Macaca mulatta: one gene and its partner. The protein of the gene in region 1 binds, or shares a complex with, the protein of each later gene. Links are inferred from orthologs where the notes say so. Each region holds a gene or a part of one and is shown in the gene's direction. Other genes may lie near its edges. The genes, in order: OS9 and UBE2J1.

What was found.
Region 2: OS9 (region 1) and UBE2J1 share a complex: the UniProt entries of both Homo sapiens proteins name them as parts of the HRD1 complex. The link is inferred for Macaca mulatta from reciprocal best matches to the Homo sapiens genes OS9 and UBE2J1.

Annotation. Positions count from the first base shown.
Region 1 is NC_133416.1:64,895,710-64,898,866, forward strand, and holds part of OS9 (protein OS-9 precursor), read left to right. Parts: coding exon of another isoform or gene 1-100; coding exon 101-201; intron 202-381; coding exon 382-433; intron 434-1,540; coding exon 1,541-1,629; intron 1,630-1,822; coding exon 1,823-2,101; intron 2,102-2,669; coding exon 2,670-2,859; intron 2,860-3,157. UniProt on the Homo sapiens protein: Lectin component of the HRD1 complex, which functions in endoplasmic reticulum (ER) quality control and ER-associated degradation (ERAD).
Region 2 is NC_133409.1:96,648,474-96,652,297, forward strand, and holds part of UBE2J1 (ubiquitin-conjugating enzyme E2 J1), read left to right. Parts: intron 1-380; coding exon 381-512; intron 513-2,607; coding exon 2,608-2,692; intron 2,693-2,843; coding exon 2,844-2,949; intron 2,950-3,824. UniProt on the Homo sapiens protein: Catalyzes the covalent attachment of ubiquitin to other proteins. Functions in the selective degradation of misfolded membrane proteins from the endoplasmic reticulum (ERAD) and is essential for cells to recover from ER stress.

The DNA of each region.
Region 1 (3,157 bases):
TCCCTTGGTGATAGAGGAGGGGAAGGGACCCCATCCTATTTGCTCCTTTCTGTCTCACCCCTCCTGTCAGATCAATGTCTCCCTGTTCTCTGTACCCTAGGTGCGAGCCCGACCAAGGATGACAGTAAGGACTCAGATTTCTGGAAGATGCTTAATGAACCAGAGGACCAGGCCCCAGGAGGGGAGGAGATGCAGGCTGAGGTGAGACCAGCTGCCTCAGAGGAGCGGGATGGGAATGGGGAGGGTCACTGTAGCTGAGGTCATTGTGAGGTGACCTACATCTACCTAGGGATGCAAGGATATCCCCAGAACCTTTGCCTTCATAGTATGGAGGGCATGAACAGGCTTTCATACTTGACTCTTTCCTTTTCTCCTTGTCAGGAGCAGGACCCAAGCCCTGAGGCAACAGATTCAGCTCCAGGTGCTCCCAATGGTGAGTGAACCTTCCATGTCTCCTTTACCATATATATTTTAGGATTGGCAGGGATAGAGATGGAAGGGAGAGCTAAGCACTGGGAGGGAGATTGAGTAGCCAGGCCAGCAGCAAATTCATTTTTACAGGAGTTAATACTCTTTGTAGACAGCACTGCTATTTTAGCAAGGTGGCAGAACACAGTAGCTCCACCACTTGGTGACTTTGTAATTCACTTAACCTCAATTTTCTTACCCATAAAATGAGGGTAATAACCCCTACCCTAGAGAGTTGCACGGGATTAAATGAGAATGCATCCATAATTCATAGTAGAAGGCCTGGAACTGAATAAACTAAATGGTTAATATTTGTGGAAAGAGGAGAAGGGTTCCAGGGAAGATAAGTCCTTAGCCCCAGGATCTCCTCTGTAGTCCTAAAAGCTGGAGTGACTGCCAGAAAGGCCTCAGAAGTGCATGGAAGAGTGGGGACTTAGCAGCTTGTTGGCATCCATCTCTCCTACCGGAGTGTCCACCTTAGAACAGTGCTCTCTGCAGACGAATGTTTGCCCTTGTCTCACTATTTAACAGGTAAACCCTAGAGGCAGGGACCGTGTCCTTCCTTGGTCTCTCATTACCTGTCCTTAGGAATCCAAAGAGCACTTAGGAGTGCAGTAGCGCACACCTGTAATCGTAGTTACTTGGAAGGCTGATGCAGAAAGATTGCTTGAGCCCAAGAATTCAAGATCAGCTTGGGCAACATAGTAACACTCCATGTTGAAAAAGAGCCGGGTGCGATGGCTCATGCCTGTAATCCCAGCACTTTGGGAGGCTGAGGCAGGTGGATCACCTGAGGTCAAGAGTTTGAGACAAACCTGGCCAACATAGTGAAACCCCATCTCCACTAAAAATACAAAAATTAGCTGGGCGTGGTGGCAGGCGCCTGTAATCCCAGCTACTTGGGAGGCTGAGGCAGGAGAATCGCTTGAACCCGGGTGGCAGAGGTTGCAGCGAGCAGAGATTGCACCACTGCACTCTAGCTTGGGTGACAGTGCAAGACTCCGTCTCAAAAAAAAAAAAAAAAATTTAAACACAACAGAACTGGTTCATGATTATTACTCTTTCATCTCAGATTTTCAGAACAACGTGCAGGTCAAAGTCATTCGAAGCCCTGCAGATTTGATTCGATTCATAGAGGAGCTGAAAGGTGGAACAAAAAAGGTATAGGCCATGCTCAGGGAATGGGTAGAACCCACCTCCCAACTGCGAGCATTTGAAAACCTACGCTGACCTGGGACTCAACTCCTGGGTCCCCCAGTACCACACACCTGCTACTATTTGTCTGCCCCCCACCATGTGTCTCTGTTGAAACTCCAACTGTCTACCTCTTTCTCCCCACTCCCTACCCACCCAGGGGAAGCCAAATATAGGCCAAGAGCAGCCTGTGGATGATGCTGCAGAAGTCCCTCAGAGGGAACCAGAGGAGAAGGAAAGGGGTGATCCAGAACGGCAGAGAGAAATGGAAGAAGAGGAGGACGAGGATGAGGATGAGGATGAAGATGAGGATGAACAGCAGTTACTGGGAGAATTTGAGAAGGAACTGGAAGGGATCCTGCTTCCGTCAGACCGAGACCGGCTCCGTTCGGAGGTGAAGGCTGGCATGGAGCGGGAACTGGAGAACATCATCCAGGAGGCAAGCCCAGCTCCTCCTCCTGTAATTCCACAGCCGCCTGGTCCCGTGAAGCAGGACAGGCTGAGGGACTAAAAGAAACAGAGAGCACAGCACAGGGCAAGGACGGGGCACTTGGAAATGATAGCTGTTTCCCTAATTAATCGGGGCTATTGGGGAAGGGGGACCAGAGAGAGGCACAAGACTTAAATATCAGACTCTCTGGCCAGGCACAGTGGCTCACGCTGTAATCCCAGCACTTTGGGAGGCCGAGGCGAGCAGATCACCTGAGGTCAGGAGTTCAAGACCAGCCTGGCCAACATGGTGAACCCTCTCTACTAAAAATGCAAAAAACTTAGCCAGGCATGGCAATGGGCACCTGTAATCCCAGCTCCTTGGAAGGCTGAGGCAAGAGAATCTCTTGAACCCGGGAGGCGGAGGTTGCAGTGAGCCGAGATGGCACCACTGTACTCCAGCCTGGGTGATGAGCAAAACTCCATTTCAAAATATCAGACTCTCCTACACAGCCCAGCCCGCTGGCTGCCTCCACGCCCCAGACCCTTGACTCACTCTCTTCTCTTGGGTATTCCAGACCGAGAAGGAGCTGGACCCAGATGGACTGAAGAAGGAGTCAGAGCGGGATCGGGCAATGCTGGCTCTGACATCCACTCTCAACAAACTCATCAAAAGACTGGAGGAAAAACAGAGTCCAGAGCTGGTGAAGAAGCACAAGAAAAAGAGGGTTGTCCCCAAAAAACCTCCTCCATCACCCCAACCTACAGGTGAGAGCAGTCAGACAAGAAGGAGTAGCCCAGTCCGTTGTTTTCATCCCTCAGCTGGTCCTATTCCCAGAGGGGACCCTGTTCCTTCCCTTCTGAGGGTGCTTATTCTCTCCCCGGTTTCTGGAACACTGTCCTCACTTGCACCTGCTTCCCATCACCATCATCCCTTTGCGTGCTTACCTCCTATTCATCCCTCTGGGAAGCAGCTTTTAGAGCATGTCTGCCTGTTTTCTGGTTTGCTCCTGTACACCCAGTACCTAGCACTCTGCCTGGCACACAATGGATGATCAGTAGGTAG
Region 2 (3,824 bases), on another chromosome or scaffold:
TATAAGGATTAATTTTTAAAGATTTGTTAAAATAACCCAAACATAGTAATTTTTTGATTATATAATTATAATAATTTGCTATTCTTTTAAGGATTAATTTCTAATTTAAACCTGTAAGTTATGAATATATAACAGAAATTTTTAATGTGTTTATTATAAAAGATTTTAGCTCAATGGAACATGAAAGCTAGATTAAGTAGCTTTCACTTATAAATTTAATTTATCACTTACATTCTCAAGACATCTCATACATTAGAAACTATACTAGCAATAATATAAAGCATTTAGTTTTTCTTGCTTGGTAATATTTCTGATATTGAGATAAAATGATCAAACTTTTTAATATTATTAATTCCTTGTGGATTATTGTTTTTGTTCAGGATAACCTTTTTGAATGGCACTTCACGGTTAGAGGGCCTCCAGACTCCGATTTTGATGGAGGAGTTTATCATGGGCGGATAGTACTGCCACCAGAGTATCCCATGAAACCACCAAGCATTATTCTCCTAACGGTAAGAATTTTGGATTTTTAGAATGCTCATGACTTAACTCTTCCTAGTAGGTGCAAAATATAGTAAGCAAATCATTTTCATTAAGAAATATTAGAACAGTATAATTTTGCTTTTGGGGGTCCAGGCCCTGGGACTACAATTTTTTTCCTCCAAAATAATTCCTAGGAAGCTGATGCATCCGAGAAGTAAAAATGATACAACTGAATGCATAAATGTCACATCATGGTTGTTAGGATTCAATGAATTAATATATGAAAAGCGCTGGGCATACACATCTGGCACTTCATAAGTACTCACTAAAGGTTAGCTAATGTTATTGTGCCTTGTAATCACATTGTCTCTTTCAACTTCCCACCTTTCTTACACTCTCTTCCTCAGTTTTCTCATCTTTACAAAGAGAATAATGATACCTACCTCACTGAGTTTATGTGGGATGAAAAGTATCAATATCTTATTGTATAGCTCTTAGAATAGAGTCTGACACAGAGTATTCAATAAGTGTTAGCATTATTATTACTATTTATATCTCAGAATTTCTCTCTTTCTCTCCAACTTTACATGTCTTTTCTTCATGTGAAGGAAAAAATTTTTTTTTTTTAGAGACACGGTCTTGCTCTGTTGCCCAGGCTGGAGCGCAGTGGCCCAACATAGCTCACTGTAGCCTCAAACTCCTGGGCTCAAGCAATCCTCCCACCTCAGCCTCCTGAGTAGCTGGGACTATAGGCACATGCCACTGTGCCCAGCTAATTAAAAAGCTTTTTGGTAGAGACATGGTCTCATTGGTCTTGAACTACTGGCCTCAGGCAATCCTCCCGTCTCAGCCTCCCAAAGTGCTAGTCACCATCATACCTGGCCAAGGAAAACTATTGATCTAATTCCTCTTCAATTGTTACGCTTTTCTTCTCTCATTTCCTTTAATTTTAACTATGTTTAATTATCCCCTAACCTTGAAAGAAGCAAAAACAAACACAAAAACCTTCCCCTGTATCTGTTACCACTTTAAGCTGTGCCTATTTTTCTCTTTGGTAACCTCCAAGGCATCCTTTCTCTAGTGTAGCCTGCTGCAGTCCACCTTCCACACATAGTGCCCTGTTGAAACATGAAACTACACCAGTCTCAGAGATTAGTTTGAGAAATCTCACTGCTTCTTCTCAGTCTTCATCCTGTTCTATCTAAGTTAAACATCTGACCCACATGGAGTAGCAAATGGTGAAACAACAGGTATTCGTCAATAAATACCAAATTAATGCTACTTTTACCTCTATTTTGTATAACAGAGAGAGCATTTGTTTAAGAGCCAGTAGGCCTAGATTCTGACTGGTGCTCTTTCCATTACACTATGGGTGGGTTACATAATGTCTTTAAAATTCAGTTTTCTCATCAGTCAAAAGGAATTTTGTGTTTGGTAATTGTAATCACACCATAAAGTACCTGACATATAGAAGCTGCTTAACAAGTATTAGCTGATACTCCTCTCTTCTTCTTTTTTTTTTTTTTTTTCTTTTCTTTTCTTGGGGACAGGGTCTCACACTGTCACCTAGGCTGGCATGCAGCAATGCAGTCATGGTTCACTGTGGCCTTGAACTCCTGGGCTCAAGGAGTCTTCCTGTCTTAGCCTCCCAAGTAGGTAGGACTAGAGGCACACGCCACCACTCCTGGCTAATTTTCTTTCTTTTTTTTTTTTCTTTTTCTGTAGACAGTGTCTCACTAGGTGGCTCAAACTGGTCTTGAACTCCTGGCCTGAAGTGATCCTCTCGCCTCAGCCTCCCAGAGTGCTGAGATTACAAGCGTGAGCCACTTCGCTGGCCAGTAAAACTTTATGTGTTAATTATTTAGATTTCAGTTGTGCAACTCAGTTTCAAAAGGTGCTGTAAAACACCTTCTAACAACAGCTTTTATTATTCAGCATCCAACAAGTATTTTTGGAGTCTATAAGGACAAAAAAATCTGTGCCCCATTAGAGGTTACATTTTTTTAAAAAATCTTTTTAAGATAATTTCTAAAATTATTATATATAAATAGTATATTTTTACTTAGAAAGTATAAACATTAAACACATGTATTTAATTTTCTAGATGTATTGTTTATTCCTCAGGCTAATGGACGATTTGAAGTGGGCAAGAAAATCTGTTTGAGCATCTCAGGACATCATCCTGAAACTTGGCAGCCTTCGTGGAGTAGTAAGTGTTAATTTATAGTGAATATAAATCTCTTATAACTTCAGTCAATTCATAGTTATGAAGTATAATACTCTCTTTTTTTTCTTTTTCCAGAATAAACCCAGTTGCTTTTACAAAGCAATTTAGATTGATATTTACTTTTTTATTTCAGTAAGGACAGCATTATTAGCCATCATTGGGTTTATGCCAACAAAAGGAGAGGGAGCCATAGGTTCTCTAGATTACACTCCTGAGGAAAGAAGAGCACTTGCCAAAAAGTAAGTTTTGCGTTTCATTCTTGTTGAGGTCTGAATGGTATTCAGGGTAATGGCTATTAGGAGGTAGGGCCTGCCTCTTACTATGTGACTTACTTTCTGAGCGACTGTAGCTACAGGATCTTATCTCAGTTTTGCTCTTTTAGAAATTCAGTTGTAATAATTTCCTTGGAGTGACCAGAATCTAAGTAATTTATTTAATGCTATCTAGTCTTAAAAAGTCGTTGATACTATTTCACTATTTTTTTTTTAATACAGTGGGAGATATATTCTCCTGGAAAACAATACCAGTCATTTGTTTCCACTTATATGGAATTACAGATGGAAAAGAACCAGAGCAATTATTTGTAGCTTTCCACAAGATTACAAACCCCTTGAGGGCCGGGAGAGAATCCACTTTATCCATCTTTGCATCTAGCTCATAGCAAGTGCTTAATAAGTGATCTGGAATAAAGCAAAAGAGATTTTCTCTATCAAGTTGTGATTGCCCAGGGGCAATCACAAACAGAGAAGTGCTGCCTTCTCTGTTTTTTTCAGGTGCAGGTGTATTTTTGTCTATATAACCAAGATCGGTCCTTCCGTTCAGAGTAGCCCCTCTTTGAGTAGCGCTGATACCTAATTTTTGATGTTGATAATTTTTCTGCTCTGGAGTCTGCTGCCTACCACCCTTCAGACATATTATGCTAATTAAATTATGGCATATTTTACCCTAGCACACCCCAGAGTAGGCCCTCCGCAGATATTTGCTAAATCAAATAGTTAGATTTTAGCATCTGGAAGATTTGGTAGACTTCTTGGTCTTATAAGCAACTTTTCTTTTTAAATCTTATTTCCAAACTCTGGGGATGTACTTTATTTGTACAACTCTTGATAGATTA